3 linked regions of the Anolis sagrei genome follow. The protein of the gene in region 3 purifies or fractionates together with the protein of the main gene of each other region. This does not show direct contact. Links are inferred from orthologs where the notes say so. Each region holds a gene or a part of one and is shown on either strand. Other genes may lie near its edges. The genes, in order: EPB41L3, EZH2 and NUMA1.

Region 1 (7,967 bases), on a different chromosome or scaffold from region 3:
CATTTTTGGTCTAAAACTAGTTAGCTGCTTGTGATCACATTATTTTATCAGTTTTAAACTTATTTATTTATGCAATGCTTTTGACACAAAATAAATAAATCATGTAGATGGGCACTTAGTCCAGACGGACACCCCTCTCCTTCCACATTTCATCTCTGCCAGGAGCAGGTCTGTAGGAAAGCAAAGGGATCTTCATTGCCATTTCCAGATCCAAATTCATCAGGATGAACTCACAAAAATAGGCTGCTGCTAAAAGTCCATTTTTTCCATCTTTACCCAGGACAGGAGCCCAGCTCAGAAAGACCAGAAAGGAGGAAACCTGATGGTGTCATCATGGCTGCCAATCAAAAAGGGATTCCATTCTTGGAGTCCCAGATCTGTTATGCCACTGCTCTGCAAACATACATATTTTTAGTCTTGCTATCTCACTGTGTGGCACAGTGACAGTTTGATCTGCATAGGTCTGTTAGGAATAAGCATGGGTACAGTGGTTTGCTGTGAGTTTTCTGGGGTGTATGGCCATGTTCCAGAAGCATTTTCTCCTGATGTTTCACCCACATCTATGGCAGACATCCTCAGAGGTTGTGCAGTACAAAAGAAACTAAGCAAAGGAGGTTTATATATCTGTGGAAGGTCCAGGGTGGGAGAAAGACTCTTGTCTGCTGGAGGCAAATATGATTGTTGCAATTGATCACCTTGATTAGCATGGAATGGCATTGCAGCTTCAAAGCCTGGCTGCTTCCTGAATTAAGTTGTCCTGAATCTCCATTCAGGGGTTGAGAAGGACGGGGTAGAAATACTAGAAATAAATAAATAAATTTTGATCTCAAACATTTTCCCCCACAGCCGCTTAAGCGCTTAAGTGGCTGTGGTGAAGATGAAAGGGCCTGAGGCTGTCATGAATGATGGGAGTTGAAGTCCAAAACACCTGGAAGTCTGACTTGGCCATGGTAGCCCACGCTCTGGTTACATCCCGTATGGACGACTGCAATGCTCTCTACGTGGGGTTGCCTTTGAAGGCTGTTCGGAAGCTTCAAATGGTCCAAGTTGTTAACAGGAGCGGCGCACAGGGCACACACAACTCCTCTTTTGCGTCAACTCCACTGGCTGCCAGTTTGCTACCGAGCACAATTCAAAGTGCTGGCTTTAGCCTATAAAGCCCTAAATGGTTCTGGGCTGCCATTCAGCTTACCTGTCCAAACATATCTCTCCTTATGAACGATCTAAGACCCTAAGATCTTCTGGGGAAGCCCTGCTCTCGGTCCCGCCTTCTTCACAGACTTTGTTGAGGGGAACAAGGGACAGGGCCTTCTCAGCGGTGGCCCCTCGGCTATGGAACGCCCTCCCTAGGGATATCAGATTGGCCCCCACCCTCTTAACATTCTGAAAAAAAGTTAAAACCTGGCTTTTTGAGCAAGCTTTCCCAAATGCAGTGTAGCAGACAAACTCTGATCTTGGGAACGACTGGACAATGCCATTGTGTAATGATTTTGGTAATGAGACACTGTGGATTTATATTTTCATTGGTTTTATTTTATTTTATCAAATGTTATTTATGCTAAATGTTTTAATTGTTCTTTGTTTTGTAGGCATCGAATGGTGCCATTTGTAAACCACCCTGAGTCGCCTTCGGGCTGAGAAAGGCGGTATATAAATATGGTTAATAAATAAATGCTGGATCGGGGTATAGGGTGGCAACCTATGCTGGATAGGGTTGCACTCCCCCTGAAGTCACAGGTCTGCAACCTGGGTGTCCTCCTGGATTCATCACTTACACTTGAAGCTCAGGCGTCAGCGATGGCTGGGAGGGCCTTTGCACAATTAAGACTCGTGCGCTAACTGCGACCGTATCTTGTGAAGTCGGATCTGGCCAGGGTGGTCCATGCCTTTGTCACCTCCAGATTGGATTACTATAATGCACTCTACGTGGGGCTGCCCTTGAAAACGGCCTGGAAATTTAAATTGGTATACTAACTGGTGCGACTTACAGAGAGTGGTCAACCCTCCTGTTTAAGGAGCTCCACGGGCTGCCATTCATTTTCCGGTCCCAATTCAAGGAGCAGGTTCTTACCTATAAAGCCCTGAATGGTTTGGGACCCGTCTACCTGCGTGACCGCATTTCTGTGTATCTCTTTGATCATCTGGAGAGGCCCTGCTCGCACTCCCACCTCCTTCGCAGGTGTGATTGGTGGGGACGAAGGAGAAGGCCTTCTTGGTGGTGGCCCCCCAACTCTGGAACTCACTTCCCAAGGACATCAGGCATGTCCCAACTCTGGCAGTCTTTAGGAGGAGCCTGAAAACGTGGTTGTTCCAGTGTGCCTTCCCAGAATAAGGAAAATTCTCAGCAATACGCCCTCAAAATGCACTTTACCACTGATTTAGGATTGACTGTGTTCCCTCATCTCTCTTTGAAATATACCAGTTATATCCTACCTTGTTCATGCCCAGCGTTATTTTTTTAATTTTTTAAACTATTACATTTGGCCCGGCCATAGGTTTTTAAATCCTTATTGTTTATATGTGTTATATGTATTAACTGCATTGTATTTATTGTTTTTGTTTATTGCTTTTGTTTATTGAGGTACTGTTGGGCTTGGCCTCATGTAAGCTGTTCCGAGTCCCTTGGGGAGATGGTGGCGGGGTATAAATAAAGTTATTATTATTATTATTATTATTATTATTATTATTATTACATAAATAAAGAGCCCCCCTGTGTATTACCGTCTATGCAGGAGGCTCCTTCCTCGCCCTTCTGAGGGAAGCCACTGAGCGCCTTGAGTCTCCCACCAGGAAAGGGAAGGGAGGGCGGGCACGCGGGAGCCGGGCACGGGCCAATGGGGAGACGCTTCTGCGGGCGGGGGGCGTGGCTACGGGGCTGTGGGGCGGCCTCTCGGCGCGCGCCCAGGACGAGGAGCAGTGCTGCTCCTGGCGCTGCAGGTGGAGGAGAGCTTCTCCTCCTCCTCCTCCTCCTTTTCCTCGGGAGCTTTGGAAGCGCGGATTCCTCCCAGCGCTCTCCTCCTCTTCCTCCTCCTCTTCTCTCTTCCTCCGCACTTTTCCTTCAGGGCGCCGGAGCAGCGTCCCATTCTTCCTCAGGTGAGCCTCCTCCTCCTCCTCCCGGGACTTTGGGAAGGGCGCGCGTGGGGTGGACGGGGCAGGGAAGGACCCCCGAGAAAGAGAGCGCGCGACCTGTCCTTGGTTTGAGGTCAGCGGGGACAGATGCCGCTTTTGCCTCCCCCCTGCAAGGAAGCCTGCTTGAGTGGGGGACGAAAAGGAGCCGGACACGCGTCTACGCATCCATACGAGCTCGTAGACGCGTGTGTGGGAGCCCTCCTGGCCCGCGCTCAGCCTTAAGCCCTCCCCCCGCCCTGCCCGCCTGCTTGCCCAGGTCGGCCCTTGGAGGGGTCAGCGCCAGTGCGCCTGCGCGGGAGGGGGCCGGCTAATCCTCTCTTGATCCCCCTCCGTCCCCGGTCCCTCCAGCCAGGAAGAATCCTTGTCGCCTTCCTTTGCGTGACAGAGACCTCTTTCCCTCCGTCCCCAGCCTTTCAGCCTTCCCGGCTCTCCAGTACTAGAGTTAGGATCTCCCATGCTGACTGTCCTATTCCCCATGTCCGTATATGTTTGGGAAAGCTGGACATTGCAGAAAGCTGAGAAGAAGGAAAGCAACTCCTCGAAAAGGAGTGTATACTGGACTGCTGGAAAGACCTACCGCAAATCAAGACTGGAACACTCTCCAGAAGGCAAGACAATTTAAGGACTGCTATCCTTTGGACGTACTGTGAGAAATCATGGCTCCATCGCAAAGACAATATCTTGCTTGGTAAGGTAGTACTTAGGCGATTCCTGTTGTCCAAGTAGGATTGTCTTCCAAGATTGGTGTCCTGGTGGTGGGTCCATAGGTGACTGTGGAGACCTATTCTTGATCTGCATGTTCTCCTTCAGTGAGGGCATTGGTTTCCAGGTGGAAGGTGGTCCCGATCGGGGTTGGCTTGATGTGCCTTCCTCTTGGCACATTTATCCCTTTCACCCTCCATTTGTGCCTCTTCAAATTCTACAGCACTGCTGGTCACAGCTGACCTCCAGCTGGAGCGCTCAAGGGCCAGGGTTTCCCAGTTCCCACTGTCTATGCTAAGGTTGGCTTTGAGCCCATCTCTAAATCTCTTTTCATGCCCACCAACATTCTGTTTTCTGTTCTTGTTGTCCAAGTATGATGGCTTTCCAAGCGTAGTGTCTTGGCAGTGGGTACATAGGTGACTGTAGAGCCCTATTCTTGACCCACATGTTATTCCACAGTGAGGACATCGACAATCAGACAAGAGAAAGACCACACTCCAGGTGGATATATCAAGAAAGACAGTCTCTGCATCTGCAGGACTTGTATGGCAGTGTGACTTGGAGATCTCTCATTCCTGGGGTCACCCTGCATCAACGATGACAGTTAGCAACAATTGATGGACTTATCAAGGTGATTAATTGCAACATCCACACTTGCCTCCAACAGACAAGAGTTCTTTCTCCCACCCTGGACTTTCCACAGATATATAAACCTCCCTTGTCTAGTTTCCAGTATAGCTCACAACCTTTGAGGATGCCATAGGTATGGATGAAACATCATGAGAGAAAGCTTCTCAAAAAAAGGCTATACAGCCAGGAAAACTCAGAGCAACCCAATTGATGGACTCTTATGGTGTTGATGGCAGGGTGACTTGGAGGTCTCTCATTTGTGGAGTCACCCTAAATCAAAGTCAGTGATGATGGTTATCAACAATTGATGGAATCTTATGTTATTGATGACAGGGTGATGTGGAAGTCTCTCTAAATGTCAAGATGACTGAAAATGAGATGGATGTACTTTGGACATATGGAAAGGCATGACTCCCTAGAAAAGACAATGCTTGGTGAAATAGAAGGCAGTAGGAAAAGAGGAAGACCACATTCCAGATGGATATATCAAGGAAGACATGTCCCTGGGCATTGAATGATTGCCTTTTATGTTTGGAATCTGCCCTGAGTCCCTTTGGGGAGCTAGAGTGGAATATAAAGGTTTTTATTATTATTATTATTATTATTATTATTATTATTATTAGTGATTCTGAAAGATTTGAGTCAGGGTATGGATGACAGGGTGACATGGAGGTCTCTCATTTATGGGGACACCATAAATCGAAGTTGACTTGATGACAGTTCGCAACAATTGATTGATTCGTATGTATTTTCAGTTCAGTATCAAGACCAACTTTGGCTCCCCAACTTCTCACTGCCCATATGTATCTGGATAAAAGCAAACCTCATCTCACGGCTTGTGCCTTGTGGGTTGTTCCTTCAATTCAAGCAGAAGGTTGGGGATCTTTTCTTCTGTCTGTTCTTCATATTCTTTATAAGCTTCTTTCTAATGTTTTTAACCTGTTTGCTCTTGGCAGAAATTCAGGTTGCGTTCTCAGCCCCTCCACAAATAGCCAATGGTTTGTGTGGGCAGGATGGAATGCAAGGTGCTGTCTTCATTTCCATCTTTCAGTAAAATAGAAAAAGGAAGGCTCACATACTGAAGGAGACTGGATAGTATTCTGGAAAGAAGCTGCTGTATATTTGTGGGGATACCATATTCTCTTCCAATTTTTTAAGTCTAGTTTATTTATCTCTTGAGCTCAAAATGTTTTTATGAGGTCTGTGTTCTTCATTTTTCTTAGATTTCTGTAAGTGTGTGCACTGTATGAACCTGATAGTGTTTCTCTCTTACTTATCATTTGCAATTCTTTTCCCCCATCGAGAGGGAATAGGATTTGAAACAGGCGGAAGGCTCTTGCCTCTCAGCAGATGGTTGGTCTGGATTGTGAGTGGGGTGTGTGCTGGAACGAATCTAGGCACACAGGAGATTCTTGCTGTCTCATACCCACAGCAGGATCAAGTGATGGTGCAGAAGGGACTGTGGGCACCCTGCAGTGCCGCCTGTGGGGGAAACAACAATCAGGCGCTCTAAGGAAGCTGGTGGCATGGCATTAATAGATACATAAGCAGCCGTAATGAACAGTGTGTGGGCGATGTGAGATTTTCCTTTCCAAGAAAGGAAACCTGTTCTTTGGCTTTTAGGATGACTGGACTTCTGCTGGCCATCATTTCTGTGTTTGCTAAATTTCTTGGGTCCTCTTGATTGGAAGGAATTAATTGATTAATTTCTTTAATGCAGTAATGCCTTGATGTCTTGCCTTCTTTATAAACATAAAGCAAATGTCACTGGTTTGCTTTACTAAAATACATTACTAGTATTTATGTACATCAGACGTATACTTGCAGAAATTCATTTGTCATATTCTTTCATTTTTCCTTACTGTGTGTTTTTGATATGCTTCCATAGTCCTTGTATCAAACCTTTTGTATTCTGTTGAATTTCTCGATGAAGGTAATAGTTTGTGATAATTAGTAAAAAGAAAGAAAAGGTAGCCAGGCAATTATATCTTTTCCCTCTTACTGGCTTACATTTTCAACTAGTGCGCATGTGCATGCACGAATACAATTTGACTCTGCTGTGTTTGAATCTTAGTAAATAATATTTGTCTCCTTCCATGTAGCTTGATATTCTAGGGGATGGTGAGGAAATGAAAATAATATAGTGGCCACCATATACTGTACATAAATGTGTGTGTGTGTTCCCTTCCACATAGCTGAAGAAAATCCTACATTTTCTGCTTTGAACTGGGATATATGGCAGTGTGGACTCAGATAACCCAGATCAAAGCAGATATTGTGGAATTTTCTGCTTTGATGTTCTGGGGAATATGGCTGTGTGGAAGGGCCCTGTGTGTGTGTGCCTCTAAATCCCTGCCTTCCATTATTTTTTTCCTTACCTCACCCGCTGGCTCCAAATGGGAATCAAAGAGTAACGGGTGAGGAAACAGTAACTGATAAGCATGCCAGTTTCCCTCTCCAGCTACTTTAGCTGTGGGAGAGAAAAACTTTAAAGGCCCTCCTTTATCTCCAAGAGTAATTAGGATCCTTTTTTTAGTAAGCTTATGTTGGGGTTCTTCTTAAAGCTGGACTCCTTCCAAGAGTGGCTATGTTTATCTTTGTCTCTGCAGAATACAGTTGTTTCACACGCTGGCTGCGGCTTGTGCCTCCCCTGCAGTTCAGTGACATTACAGCGAGCTCTGCTTAAGCTAATTGCTGATTGTCCGAACAAGTAGCTGAAAGGAGAGGAGACTCGCGGTTCTGATAGGAGCTGGGCAGTTTGATTTCATTAGACCAAAGGCACGGAAGTGAGAGAGCACTTGACTGGGTGGGTCTATTGCAACCTTAGGAAGGGATGGGTAAGGATTATGCTGAAAGTTGTTTCCAAAGGGCAATCCACAGATAGGGAAGGGTTAAAGTGCATTAATGAGTAATAATGCTCAGAGTCCATATTTAAAGACAGCATCAGCAGATTCAGTCTGTGCTTTGCCAGTGTCAGGTAGGTCCTGAAGGTTTCAGGGTTATGGCAGTAATTATGACTTGTACTTATGACCGCCTTGAGTCCCGTCTTGGGTGAGAAAGGCAGGATATAAATATGGTAAATAAATAAATAATAATGAATATGAACTATGCCAAAACTATTTTGTGCAATTGAATCCTGACTGATTAATAGTTGGTTAATTCTTTCTCTCTGGAATGTAATGAACAGTTATTCTGATATAGTTTTCTTGGTCCCACTTTTCAAATTCATTAAAGAATTGGTCATATAAGTAGGATAATAAAAGGTTCCAGCATGGAGTGAATCTGTTCAAGGCTTCAGTTAGCCCAGCCATTTGGCATGTTCATCTTTTAAGAAATATTTTTTTTACTGAATTTTAAAAAGTATTCTACAAACAAAGGCAGCATTCTAAACCTGCTGATACTGCACTCATGTATCTGAATTGTGTGTATGTGTTTTGTTTGGCTGCTAAAGTATCCATGTATTCATGCTGGCCACATGACTTTGGAGGTGTCTACGGACAACGCTG
Region 2 (7,720 bases), on a different chromosome or scaffold from region 3:
AAGGGACTTAAAAAGCCAAAAAAGCAAAAAGACACTACAATACATGCACAATAACAACTCCCTTTAGCAAACAAAACACACAATAGCATATCCACCCTCTCTTCTGGACTACAGTTCCCAGTATCCCCTAGACCCGGCCCTTTAGAGGAGGAGGATGAGCCAAATGCACTGCTTCCAAGCTGCAAGCATTCTTCTCCTTGGATGTCTTTGAAAGCATCCCAATCCCTGCATATTTCCAATTTCCTATTCCTGGACTGCAACTCCCAGCAATCCTCCAGATAGATAAGATAGATAGACAAATAGGTATGTGGATAGATTGATCAGAAGGAGTGCTGGGAGGTGCAGTCCAAGAATAGGCAGAGAAGGAAGAAAGCGGAGAAAGAGGAAGGGAAAGAAAAGGGGGGAAGGAAGGGAAGAGGAAGACAAGGAAGGAAAGAATGAAAGAAAGGGAAGGAAGGAGAAAGAAAAGAGGAGAGAAAGAGGGAGGGAAGGTTGGCCACAGCAACACATGGCAGGTACAGATAGCAAATAAATAAATATTGATACAAGCTGACCCATTTGAGGGTAGGGAGGGGGGATTCAAAGGGAAACTAACATTCTATATTGAAAAAGTAAAAACTGAAACTGTAACATAGTTACAAAAATTGAAAATAGTCATCTATATTAATTCATATACTGTCAAAGTTTGTACTATGATGTATTGTTAACTGCATGGTTTTCAAAAAAAGTAAACAAATAAGGGGAGGGGAAACTACCTTACACCTAGCTGAACGTTGTTTTTTCTGGTAAGCCATGTCTTATCATGATATGACCCTCACTGTGGAAGAACATGCGTGTCAAGAAGAGGGCTCTATAGCCACCTAGATATCCACCACCAAGACACAACACTTGAAGGGCCAACATATTCTGGCAAGGAGAGATCACCTAAGTCAGTGCTTCTCAACCTTCCTAATGCCACGCTCCCTTAATACGCTTCCTCATGTTATGGTGACACCCAACCATAAAATTAGTTCCATTGCTACTTCATAACTGCCATTTTGCTGCTGTTATGAATAGTAATGTAAATATCTGATATGCAGGATGTATTTTCATACACTGGACCAAATTTGGCACAAATACCCAATACACCCAAATTTTGAATACTGGTGGGATTGGGGGAGGGTACTGATTTTGTCCTGTGGGAGTTGTAGTTGCTGGGATTTATAGCTCACCTACAATCAAAGAGCATTCTGAACTCCACCAAGGATGGAATTGAATCAAACTTGGCACACAGAACTCCCATGACCAATAGAAAATACTGAAAGGGTTTGGTGGGCATTGACCTTGAGTTTTGGGAGTTGTAGTCAGAGGCGGCCCTAGGTAATTTTCAACGGTAAGCAAACCAACCCACCCACCCACTCATTGATATATATTTTCTGTTCATCATGGAAGTTCTGTGTGCCCTATTTGGTTCAATTCCATCATTGGTAGAGTTCAGAATGCTCTTTGATTTTAGGTGAACTATACATCCCAGTAACTACAACTCGCATATGTCAAGGTCTATTTTCCCCCAAGAGCGCCCCTGGTTGTAGTTCACCTACATCCAGAGAGCATTGTGGACTCAAACAATGATGGATCTGGACCAAACTTGGCACGAATTCTCAATATGCCCAAATGTAAACACTGGTGGAGTTTGGGGAAAATAGACCTTGACATTTGAGAGTTGTAAGTGCTGGGATATATAGTTCACCTACAATCAAAGGCACGCATTCTCAATATGCCCAAATGTAAACACTGGTGGAGTTTTGGGGAAATAGACCTTGACATTTGAGAGTTATAAGTGCTCCAAAAAATTGACGAATTTGTGATCATCCAGCGGCTCCTACACAATTATATGATAACAGGATTTATAGTTCACCTACAATCAAAGGCACGAATTCTCAATATGCCCAAATTCTCAATATTCCCCAAACTGGTGGGGTTGGGAGGAAATAGACCTTGATATTTGGGAGTTGTAGTTGCTGGGATTTATAGTTCACCTACCATCAAAGGCCCGAATTCTCAATATGCCCAAATGTAAACACTGGTGGAGTTGGGGGAAAACAGACCTTGACATTTGAGAGTTGTAGTTGCTGGGATTTATAGTTCACCTACAATCAAAGGCATGAATTCTCAATATGCTCAAATGTAAACACTGGTGGAGTTTGGGGAAAACAGACCTTGACATTTGGGAGTTGTAGTTGCTGGGATTTATAGTTTACCTACAATCAAAGGGACGAATTCTCAATATGCCCAAATGTAAACACTGGCGGAGTTTGGGGAAAATAGACCTTGACATTTGAGAGTTGTAGTTGCTGGGATTTACAGTTCACCTACAATCAAAGGCACGGATTCTCAATATGCCCAAATGTAAACACTGGTGGGGTTGGGTGAAAATAGACCTTGACATTTGAGAGTTGTAAGTGCTGGGATTTATAGTTCACCTACAATCAAAGGCACGAATTCTCAATATGCTCAAATGTAAACACTGGTGGAGTTTGGGGAAAACAGACCTTGATATTTGGGAGTTGTAGTTGCTGGGATTTATAGTTTACCTACAATCAAAGGCACGAATTCTCAATATGCCCAAATGTAATCACTGGCGGAGTTTGGGGAAAATAGACCTTGACATTTGAGAGTTGTAAGTGCTGGGATTTATAGTTCACCTACAACCAAAGAGCATTCTGAACCCTACCAAGGATTGAATTGGGCCAAACTTCCCACACAGAACCTCCCTGAGCAAGAGAAAATACTGTGTTTTCTGGTGGTCTTTGGTGACCCCTCTGGCGACCCCTCCAGGGATCCCGACCCCCAGGTTGAGAAACACTGGCCTAAGTAATGCCAATGAGTAATGTCTCTCTCCCTCCCTCCCAATGAGGCGCCCTCACCTGCTCACGAGCACGACTTCAGTCATTTCCACCTGTTTTCCCCGTAGCATGTTCATTTTCCCGGGCTCTTCATTCACTCTCCTGTAGACTAGCTTCGCCTCTCCCCGCTTACCTTTCCCATTCTCTCCCCATTGAGGAAGGCCCCGCCCCACCTGTCTTTCACAGGAAGCCACGCCCCCTCGCTCACTTGTAGGCGCCCCTCCCCCCCCTCCCACCCCCAAGCACGACAAAGAACTCGAAGCGGGTGTGTCTGCCTGTCTCTGTCCGGCTCCCTCACTCGCTCGCGCGCTTACCCCCTCCTCGCCGGGCCCGCGGCGCCCCTCTCTCGGCTCGCCTCCCGTCCGTCACGCCGCCCCGCTCACTTCTCCCTTCTTCTCCTTCTTCTTTCCTCCTCCTCCTCCTCTTCTTCGGCTCCGGACAACAGAGCGCCAAACCCGGCGGCGGCCAAATGGCCCCGGCTCTCATTGGAGAGAAGCTGCCGTCGTCCGGATTGGACGAACCGCGCTCTCCCCGCCCCCCCGTAGCCGGGTCTCAGCCAATCCTCGGCGTCCTGGGCCCGAGGGGCGGGGGCTTGCGCGCGCCCCCCACGTGCAGGGCGGGAAAGAGGGGGAAGTTCTTTGTTCTCGCGCTGTTTAGAAGAAGGCGGGAGTTGCCTCGGTTCCTCTTTTTCAAATGTGGTTTCTTCGCTGGGCGCGCGGGGCAAGCTCTCTCCCTCAGGAGGAAGTGGACCGCCTCAGCCCCGTTGCAAGGCAGGAGGGCGGGAGGCCGTTAACGGTTCTAACAGCCGTGGCTGCCTTTGCGCGCGCGCGGCCGGGGGGAATGGGGGAGCCTGGCCGCCCCTCAGGCGGGGCTCTGCGCCCGGCCCCCTCGACGCCTGTTGCTGGATTTGGGGGGGGGGGGGGGGAGGCCTGTTTCCACAAACAGTCGGGTCTGGCTTACAGTTGAGGTGCGTCTCTCTCTCTGCTGCTGCTGTTAGGAGCCACCATTGTTGTGGAGGTACAGAACCATCTTGAATCCGACTATCTATATAAATCACACGCATAAAGACATTACATATATTAGAAGCCAACACTTTCTCATTACTTTATTTTCCAGATCACCAGACTAGGCCACAGCAACACTTGGCAGGGGACAGCTAGTATATATAAAGAAAAAGGTAATGTTCGTTTGTGGTATTCACAGAAGTCAAAAACCACTAGATGAATTGACACCAAATTTGGAAACAAGACACCTAACAACCCAATGTATGTCCTTCACTCAAAGAAATTGATTTTGTCATTTGGGAGTTGTAGTTGCTGGGATTTATTGTTTACCTACAATCAAAGCATTCTGAACTCCACCAATGATGGAATTGGGCCAAATTTGGCACGAATATTCCATATGCCCAAATATGAACACAGATGGAGTTTGGAGGAAATAGACATTGGGGATTTCTAGTAATGTAATCAGAGCCATCCAGTCATAAAGATAGATACGATTCTCTCTCTCACACACACACACAGATATAGTATCATAGATTTGAAAGGGACCCTTAAAGAAGGACTATGATATGTTGCATCCTTGAAGTGACTGGACTGACCTTGAAGGAGCTGGGGGTGGTGACGGCCGACAGGAAGCTCTGGCGTGGGCTGGTCCATGAGGTCACGAAGAGTTGGAGGCGACTGAACGAATGAACAACAACATGATATGTTGCGTGTTCCACAGTAGGCAAACCAGACAATCGCCACATCAACACTGGCAAAGAAACTGCAAGAAATACTATTTACTCACAAGCATAAAGACATTACATATATTGGAAACCAACACTTCTCATTGCTTTATTTTCCAGATCACCAGACAGCCACAGCAACGCGTGGCAGGTGACAGCTTGTTGTTGTTCATTCATTCAGTCGTCTCTGACTCTTCGTGACCTCATGGACCAGCCCACGCCAGGGCTCCCTGTCGGCCGTCACCACCCCCAGCTCCTTCAAGGTCAGTCCAGTCACTTCAAGGATGCCATCCATCCATCTTGCCCTTGGTCGGCCCCTCTTCCTTTTACCTTCTACTTTCCCCAGCATAATTGTCTTCTCTAGGCTTTGCTGTCTCCTCATGATGTGGCCAAAGTACTTCAGCTTTGTCTCTAGTATCCTTCACTCCAATGAGCAGTCGGGCTTCATTTCCGGAGGATGGACTGGTTGGATCTTCTCACAGTCCAAGGCACTCTCAGAACTTTCCTCCAACACCACAGCTCAAAAGCATCGATCTTCCCTAAGGTCCAGCTCTCACGTCCATAGGTTACTACAGGGAATACCATGGCTTTGGCTGCTGCTGTTAGGAGCCACCATTGTTGTGTAGGTACAGAACCATCTTGAATCCGACTATTATTACTATTTATTTATATTTTTATCCCGCTTTTCTCCCATACCTGGGAGAACTGTGGTTAAAACAACAGAAATCCCATGACACAAAAAGCACAACATCACCTCCCCACAAAAAAAACATAAACAAATAGCACCTTGCATAAACCAGAAACAACAAATAATAATAAGTACCAAACATGTGCGCCAGCTGCGCCCGTACCTTGGGAAGTCTGACTTGACCATGGTAGTCCACACTCTGGTTACATCCCACATAGATTACTGCAACGCACTCTACGTGGGGTTGCCTTTGAAGACTACTCGGAAGCTTCAAATGGTTCGGCGCTCCGCAGCCAGGTTGCTAACAGGAACGGCACTCAGGGAGCATACCACTCCTCTCTTGTGCCAGCTCCACTGGCTGCCAATCTGCTACCGGGCACAATTCAAGGTGCTGGCGTTAGCCTATAAAGCCCTAAACGGTTCCGGCCCTACTTACCTCTCCGAACGCATCTCCACCTATGAACCGACTAGGACATTAAAATCATCTGGGGAGGCCCTGCTCTCGATCCCGCCTGCATCACAGGCGCGTTTGGCGGGGACGAGGGACAGGGCCTTCTCGGTGGTGGCCCCTCGGCTGTGGAATGCCTTACCTGTAGACATCAGAAAGGCCCCTTCGCTGTTGGCGTTCCGGAGGAAGGTTAAGACTTGGCTTTACGAACAAGCGTTTGGCTAAACAGTGCAAATGAATACAGGAAAACGGTAAAATCGAACATAGGAAAAAGGTACAAGGATTATGAGAACGGATTCTGATTTGCTGTTGAGGCGTTATGATATGATAATGATTGTTTTTGATTTTGTCTGTTATGGGGCCTGCATCAATAGGAGCATAGTGTCTAGATCTAGGGAAGTAATGCTACCCCTCTATTCTGCTTTGGTTAGACCACACCTGGAATATTGTGTCCAATTCTGGGCACCACAATTCAAGAGAGATGTTGACAAGCTGGAATGTGTCCAGGGGAGGGCGACTAAAATGATCAAGGGTCTGGAGAACAAGCCCCATGAGGAGCGGCTTAAGGAGCTGGACACATTTAGCCTGAAGAAGAGAAGGCTGAGAGGGGATATGATAGCCATGTATAAATATGTGAGAGGAAGCCACAGGGAGGAGGGAGCAAGCTTGTTTTCTCCTTCCCTGGAGACTAGGACGTGGAACAATGGCTTCAAGCTACAAGAGAGGATATTCTATCTGAACATGAGGAAGAACTTCCTGACTGTGAGAGCCGTTCAGCAGTGGAACTCTCTGCCCCGGAGTGTGGTGGAGGCTCCTTCTTTGGAAGCTTTTAAACAGAGGCTGGATGGCCATCTGTCAGGGGTGATTTGAATGCAATATTCCTGCTTCTTGGCAGAATGGGGTTGGACTGGATGGCCCATGAGGTCTCTTCCAACTCTTGATTCTATGAGTCTATGAGTCTATGTATAATGTGTTTTAATTGCTTATGATACTGTTGTGATAACCTGTATTATGTAAACCGCATTGAGTCGCCTAACGGGCTGAGAAAAGCGGTATAGAAATAAAGTAAATAAATAAATAATAAAGTGTTCCGCCTTGGATTAGACCACACCTGGAATATTGTGTCCAATTCTGGGCACCACAATTGAAGAGACAAACTGGAATGTGCCCCGAGGAGGGCGACTAAAATGATCAAGGGTCTGGAGAACAAGCCCTATGAGGAGCAGCTTAAGGAGCTGGGCATGATTAGCCTGAAGAAGAGAAGGTTGAGCGGAGACATGATAGCCATATATAAGTATGTGAGAAGAAGCCACAGGGAGGAGGGAGAAAGTTTGTTTTCTGCTGCCCTGAGAGGGATGAGAGGAGAAGTCACAGGTCCACAGTTTGGGGGTCCTCCTGGACTCATCACTGTCGCTTGAAGCTCAGGTGTCGGCGGTGGCCGGGAGGGCCTTTGCACAATTAAGACTCGTGCGCCAACTGCAACCGTACCTCGTAAAGGCGAATCTGGCCAGGGTGGTCCACACCTTAGTCACTTCCAGATTGGACTACTGTAATGCACTCTACCTGGGGCTGCCCTTGAAAACGGCCCGGAAATTTTAATTGGTCCAACGAGCGGCAGCCCGGTTGCTAACTGGTGCTTCTTACAGAGAGAGGTCAACCCTCCTGTTTAAAGAGCTTCACTGGCTGCCTTTCATTTTCCGGTCCCAATTCAAGGTGCAGGTGCTTACCTACAAAGCCCTAAACAGTTTGGAAACTGCCTACCTGTGTGACCGCATCTCTGTGTACGAACCCACACGATCTCTTTGTTCATCTGGAGAGGCCCTGCTCACGATCCCACCTGCATCGCAAGCGCGATTGGTGGGGACGAGGGATAGGGCTTTCTCTGTGGTGGCCCTTTGACTCTGGAACTCTCTCCCCAAAGACATGAGGCAGGCCCCATCACTAGCAATCTTTAGGAGGAGCTTGAAAAC
Region 3 (6,965 bases):
ACCTCACTACCTCTGAGGATGCTTGCCATAGATGCAGGCGAAACGTCAGGAGAGAATGCCTCTAGAACTTGGCCATATAGCCCGAAAAAACCTACAACAACCCAGTGATTCCGGTCATGAAAGCCTTTGACATACATTAAAACTCAACAGCTACTGATTGGCTTGAGCACATGCAGTTGCACTGGAGGCTTCTAAGAAACATATGGTTGTTCATTTCACTAATTCTAACAATGTAAGAAAGACAGTCATCCAGGTCCCCATCTAAAAATTGACAAATAAGTAGTATCTTTACTAGGCAACAATCAAAATCCACACGGCCTTTCAGGACCTACAGAATTTTGACAAAACAGTCCACTCTCATTTCTGCCTAGCTGAAGAACAGAAGAGTCATGCAGATCCATAAAACTAAGTCTATGGCTAAATGCTTAAATATCAGGTCACTTGAAATAAAAGAAAATGGGGCCCAAGGAAGAGGAAAGAATTGGCTTGCTCGCCCACAACAATTAAGTATATGGGGAAAAAGAATTGGGGTGCAGGTGGGTGTAAAATAGAGTGGCAAGCAACACTTATCTCTATTCCAACTTTCTCCAAAAATTTCTTTCTCCAACTTTCTTACAAGATGCACGGTGCACACATTAAATAAAAACGTGTCATAAAGAAAGGAGAAAACACTTTCTTCCTTTCCTACTTTTAGGAACAACATTCACAAAAGATGAAAGAAATAATAATAATAATACTTTATTTATATCCCGCTACCATCTCCCTGGCTTACATGAGGCCGAGGCCATAGAACAACAATAATTAAAGCAATCACAAAACATCAATACAAAACAATCAAAATAATCTCATAACAAAATAAACAATAAACAGTAACAATAAACAACAAGCATTTAAAAACTTATGGCTGGGCCAAATGTGATAATTAAAAATTAAATAATAATAATAATAAAATAAAAATACCCATGTGGGAACAAGGAATCCCTTAGCATGGCTCACTTCATGCATCTGAAGAATTAGATGCACAAAAGCAGGCACCACAGTAAATATATTAGCTGTCATGACAGTCTTGCTGTCCTAGTGCAATATGTTAGAGCAGGGAAGGTGGCAGGGGCATCTTTTAGGCATTCACTCCTTCTGAAAACCAACTATCACCCGCTCTGTAGTGACAACCACAATGCTTTCCTGTCAAAGCCGTCAATCATTCTAGAGGGCTACAATTCACACAATGCTGCCTGGAGCTTCTGGAAGCTGAGAGCAAATCATCAGGAGGACCAAAGGTTCATTACTAGCTGTCAGGAGAAGGGATTCAGTGTGCACTTTGTCGCCCTCACACTTGTTTCTTTGCTGTTTATGAAGGACAATTCACACAGCAACAGGGCTGTAGCAAAGCAGTAGAGTCTCGCTTATCTAACATAAATGGGCCAGCAGAATGTTGGATAAGCGAAAATGTTGCCCATGCCTGCTCTACTGTAACTATCAATTAGACGCAAAAACATCATGCGGAAACTTACTGGCAGCACATGGGGTGCAGACCCAAAATTAGTACGGACATCAGCCGTGGCCTTGTCTGACTCAACTGCCGAGTATACCTGCCCTGTTTGGCATAGGTCTGCCCATGCAAAGCAGGTGAACATAGCATTGAACGAAAGATGCAGAATTATCCCAGGATGTCTTAAACCTACACCTGTTGATAAACCCTACAAGCTAGATCATAGAATCAAAGAGTTGGAAGAGACCTCATGGGCCATCCAGTCCAACCCCCTGCCAAGAAGCAGGAATATTGCATTCAAATCACCCCTGACAGATGGCCATCCAGCCTCTGCTTAAAAGCTTCCAAAGAAGGAGCCTCCACCACACTCCGGGACAGAGAGTTCCACTGCTGAACGGCTCTCACAGTCAGGAAGTTCTTCCTAATGTTCAGATGGAATCTCCTCTCTTGTAGTTTGAAGCCATTGTTCCGCGTCCTAGTCTCCAAGGAAGCAGAAAACAAGCTTGCTCCCTCCTCCCTGTGGCTTCCTCTCACATATTTATACATGGCTATCATGTCTCCTCTCAGCCTTCTCTTCTTCAGGCTAAACATGCCCAGTTCCCTAAGCCGCTCCTCATAGGGCTTGTTCTCCAGACCCTTGATCATTTTAGTTGCCCTCCTCTGGACACATTCCAGCTTGTCAATATCTCTCTTGAATTGTGGTGCCCAGAATTGGACACAATATTCCAGATGTGGTCTAACCAAAGCAGAATAGAGGGGTAGCATTACTTCCTTAGATCTAGACACTATGCTCCTATTGATGCAGGCCAAAATCCCATTGGCTTTTTTTGCCGCCACATCACATTGTTGGCTCATGTTTAACTTGTTGTCCACGAGGACTCCAAGATCTTTTTCACACGTACTGCTCTCGAGCCAGGCATTGTCCCCCATTCTGTATCTTTGCATTTCATTTTTTCTGCCAAAGTGGAGTATCTTGCATTTGTCACTGTTGAACTTCATTTTGTTAGTTTTGGCCCATCTCTCTAATCTGTCAAGATCGTTTTGAATTCTGCTCCTGTCCTCTGGACTATTGGCTATCCCTCCCAATTTGGTGTCGTCTGCAAACTTGATGGGAAGTTGCTGCTAAATTTAAGAGAAATAAGGTTGAACACTGTGAAAGCCACCCACTACATGGCTACCAGCCTCCTCCCAGTAGACTCAAATCAAGGAAAAGCTTTATGGGAACTACCACTCCTCTTGGTGTCCCTCCAGCAACAGCAAGGGTATCCCTCTGGGCAGCTAAACCAGGAAATCCCAACTGGGTGCCCCCCAGTTGGGAATGGTGGGAGTTGGAAGTCCAAAACACCTGGAGGGGAGGGCCGAATTTTGCCTTGCAGAAGGAACAAAGGGAGGCCTCTCCTTCAGAGGAAGGACCAGGAAGCCTTCATAAGGAGTCCAGAAGGAGAAGGCGCGGGAAAGGCAAACAAACCTCCGAGGCTTCATCCTCAAAGACTGCTAAACTGCCTGGCTGTATGTTGAGGCCTTCCTCCCTCCCTCCCTCCTCCTGGCTTAGATTAAGAGGAGGAAGGCCCGTCCAGGCAGGCAGGCAAGTGCCCGGATGTGGAAGGCCCAACTGCGCTCGCCTGAGCCTCCTCCTCTTCCCAAGGAGAGAGAGAGGGAGGGAGGGGGAAGCAATTAGGGACGGACACAGGCAGGAGCCCCCTCTTTATTTACTTCCCTCCCTCCCTCCTGAAACAACAAGCAAGCACCCCCCCCCCCTTTGCCTTTGTCCAGGCCTTACCGGAGTAGCAAAGCCAAACAGTTTTTCTTTCTCTGGGCGCCAAATGTTTAATCCGTCATTAGCGTTTGAAACCTGGAAGAGGAGGAAGGAGGGAGGAAGGGCTGGAGGGTGGCCAAGGCGCGCGCAGGCGCCCCAGGAAAGAAAAGTTGTTGCTCAAGGCCCGCACAAGCCCCGCCCCCTTCTCCCTCCAGCCCCGCCCTCCTTCCCTAACCCCGCCTCCCTCCCCCCCAAGACAGGCGAGGTGCCAGCTGACGTCACAGCCAATAGGCGCAGGCCAGGCCAGAGCCCGAGTTGGGCCTAAAGAAGCTTGCAGGAGGAAACCTCCTCCAGGTTTATTTATGAACCAGAAGCAGAGGAAAGAAAGGGACCTTACAGGCCATCCAGTCCAACCCCATTCTGCCAAGAAGCAGGACAATCGCATTCAAAGCATCCCTGACATATAGCCTCTGTTTAAAAGCCTCCAAAGAAGGAGCCTCCACCACACTCCGGGGCAGAGAGTTCCACTGCTGAACAGCTCTCACAGTCAGGAAGTTCTTAGAATCATAGAATCAAAGAGTTGGAAGAGATCTCATGGGCCATCCAGTCCAACCCCATTCTGCCAAAAAGCAGGACAATCGCATTCAAAGCACCCCTGACAGATGACCATCCAGCCTCAAAAGAAGGAGCCTCCACCACACTCAGGGCAGAGAGTTCCACTGCTGAACAGCTCTCACAGTCAGGAAGTTCTTCCTTGTGTTCATAGAATCCTAGAGTTGGAAGAGATCCCATGGGGCATCCAATCCAACCCCATTCTGCCAAAAAGCAGGACAATCACATTCAAAGCACCCTCGACAGATGACCATCCAGCCTCTGTTTAAAACCCTCCAAAGAAGGAGCCTCCACCACACTCGACTACACTCCCTGGTAGAGAGTTCCACTGGGTTGTTGTAGGTTTTTTCGGGCTATATGGCCATGGTCTAGAGGCATTCTCTCCTGACATTTCGCCTGCATCTATGGCAAGCATCCTCAGAGGTAGGGAGGTCAAAATGTCAGGAGAGAATGCCTTTAGACCATGGCCATATAGCCCGAAAAAACCTACAACAACCCAGTGATTCCGGCCACGAAAGCCTTCGACAATACAGAGGGTTCCACTGCTGAACGGCTCTCATAGTCAAGAACTTCTTCCTAATGTTCAGGTGGAATCTCCTTTTTTGTAGTTTGAAGCCATGGCTCCATTGCACCTTAGTCTCCAGGGCAGCAGAAAACAAGCTTGCTCCCTCCTCCCTATGACTTCCTCTCACATATTTATACATGGCTATCATGTTTCCTCTCAGCCTTCTCTTCTTCAGGCTAAACATGCCCAGCTCCTTAAGCCGCTCCTCATGGTAATCAAGGTGACCAATTAAAACATTCACACCTAGCTCCAACAGATGTTATTTATTTATTTACTATATTTCTATACCACCCTTCTCAGCCCAAGGCCAACTCAGGGCGGTTTACAAAATGGCACAATTTGGTGCCACAATAATATAAAAACAGCTTAAAGCATATAACACACATAAAAGTCCTTAAAGCATATAACATCCATAAAAATGCATATAACATACATACAGGAGCCCCCGGTGGCGCAGAGGGCTAAAGCACTGTGCCGGCAGGACTGAAGACCGACAGGTCGCAGGTTCGAATCCGGGGAGAGGCGGATGAGCTCCCTCTATTAGCTCCAGCTCCTCATGTGGGGACATGAGAGAAGCCTCCCACAAGGATGATAAAGCATCAAAAATCATCCAGGCGTCCCCTGGGCAACGTCCTTACAGACGGCCAATTCTCTCACAACAGGAGCGGTTGCTCCTGACACGACCAAAAAACATACATAAACAGTAAAATCAATAAATGCATAAATCCTCCACATCTCAATACCCAATCGTTATACGATCACAATTGTCCAGTCGTTTCGAGGTCAAGAAGTTATCTGCTACACTGCATTTGAGAAAGCCTGCTCACAAAGCCAAGTTTTGACTTTTTAACAAAATATTAATAATATTAAGAGCTCCCTAATGTTCCTAAGGAGAGGTTTCCACAGCCGAGGGGCCACCACAGAGAAGCCCCTATCTCTCGTCCCCACCAATCGAAGCTGTGAAGAAGGCAGGACCAAGAGCAGGACCTTCCCAGAAGATCTTAAATTCCTAGATGGTCATAAAATATGAGTTCTTTCTCCGACCCTGGACATTCCACAGATATATCAACCCCATTTTCCTAGTTTTCAACAGACCTCTCTCAACCTCAGAGGATTCCTGCCATAGATGCAGGTGAAATGTCAGGAGATAATGCTTCTGAAGCATGGCCAGACAGCCCAGAAAACTCACAACAACCCAGAACCAGGTTTAGTTATAAACCAGAAGCAGCTAAAAGAAAGAAGACTCCCCACAAGGCCATTCGGTCCAACCCTCTTCCTCTAGGTAGGAATGCACACAATCCAAGCCCTCCCAAAATATGACTGTTGTCTGTCACTTTCGCAAATAACAGAGAGGTCCAAGCTAAGGCACCATCTAAGGTAGGTATGGGCAAACTTCTGCCCTCAGTGTGTTTTGGACTTCAACCCCAGCAATTCCTAACAGCCGGTAGGGTGTTAGAAATTGTGGAGGTTGAAGTCCAAAACACACGGAGGGCAGAAGTTTGCCCATGCCTGATAAGGCCTCACTGCAACACAGAGGTCACCTCAACTACTGCAATCCAAGGCAGAGACATCTCCAGCTCATCCCCTGTTTGGGTATCAGCCAGCACGTCAACGACTTAAATCAAGAAAGAGTTTTCTAAGATCTACAGAGACACTCGCTGGAACACCTCTGCAAGCAAGAGTCCAAAAGTGGCAGGCTCAAACCCAGAACCTCAACCAATGGCTGATACCAAATGAGACTCCCCCATGGGCACACGGAAAACTGGGCAACTTGGAAGGCGCTGAACAGACTGCGCTCTGGCACCACGAGATGCAGAGCCAACCTCAAGAAATGGGGCCACAAAGTGGAACCCACGACATGCGAGTGTGGAGAAGAGCAAACCACTGACCACCTGCTGCAATGCAACCTGAGCCCCGCCACATGCACAATGGAGGACCTTCTTGCAGCAACACCAGAGGCACTCCAAGGGGCCAGATACTGGTCAAAGGACATTTAATCAACTACTAAGCTTGCAAACTCTTGTTTTGTCTGTTGTTAAAATTTTAATACAATTGTCTGGTTGATACTGACACGATAAATAAATAAACTTCTGCAATTAACAGGTCGGTATAGTAATACCCGCAGTAGACCCTGACACAAGTTGGCCCTGCAATTAAGACTTAAGGAGTTGGAACTTGGTTAACATAAACATAAGGCAAGTGAGTTACTATATTTCCTGCTAATCGCTTAAACAATAAATAAATAAACTGATGGAATATAAAGACTACCCCTGGAAGATAAGAAGCAATTCATTTTAAATCCCGCTTGGGTTTTTTTTTTCTTTTCTTTTGCTGCCTGCTGAACTGCAAGACATCCCTTTGCAGGCGCTCATTAGAAACAGCTGTTTGAAAGAGGCACATTCCTGCAAGGGCCCCAGGGACCTTGAACGCCGCCCAATCTGGCAAACCCTGCAAGGAAAGGAGGCCACAGAGAAAGAGAGGCCTGCTTTGCCTCTTGCTAGGACTGCCCTCCAGAATGAGATAGCGAGGCCCGGTGTGCTCTG

Evidence for each region.
Region 1: the proteins of NUMA1 (region 3) and EPB41L3 purify together in Homo sapiens (affinity purification with mass spectrometry; 3 studies listed by BioGRID and IntAct, with this or other methods). This does not show direct contact. The link is inferred for Anolis sagrei from reciprocal best matches to the Homo sapiens genes NUMA1 and EPB41L3.
Region 2: the proteins of NUMA1 (region 3) and EZH2 purify together in Homo sapiens (affinity purification with mass spectrometry; 3 studies listed by BioGRID and IntAct, with this or other methods). This does not show direct contact. The link is inferred for Anolis sagrei from reciprocal best matches to the Homo sapiens genes NUMA1 and EZH2.

The regions. Positions count from the first base shown.
Region 1 is NC_090024.1:62,974,269-62,982,235, reverse strand, and holds the start of EPB41L3 (band 4.1-like protein 3), read left to right. Parts: upstream 1-4,966; 5' UTR 4,967-4,988; coding exon 4,989-5,040; intron 5,041-7,967. UniProt on the Homo sapiens protein: Tumor suppressor that inhibits cell proliferation and promotes apoptosis. Modulates the activity of protein arginine N-methyltransferases, including PRMT3 and PRMT5.
Region 2 is NC_090026.1:63,278,862-63,286,581, reverse strand, and holds the start of EZH2 (histone-lysine N-methyltransferase EZH2), read right to left. Parts: upstream 3,044-7,720; 5' UTR 2,963-3,043; coding exon 2,907-2,962; intron 1-2,906. UniProt on the Homo sapiens protein: Polycomb group (PcG) protein. Catalytic subunit of the PRC2/EED-EZH2 complex, which methylates 'Lys-9' (H3K9me) and 'Lys-27' (H3K27me) of histone H3, leading to transcriptional repression of the affected target gene.
Region 3 is NC_090023.1:4,834,308-4,841,272, reverse strand, and holds the start of NUMA1 (nuclear mitotic apparatus protein 1), read right to left. Parts: upstream 3,002-6,965; 5' UTR 2,972-3,001; coding exon 2,958-2,971; intron 1-2,957. UniProt on the Homo sapiens protein: Microtubule (MT)-binding protein that plays a role in the formation and maintenance of the spindle poles and the alignement and the segregation of chromosomes during mitotic cell division.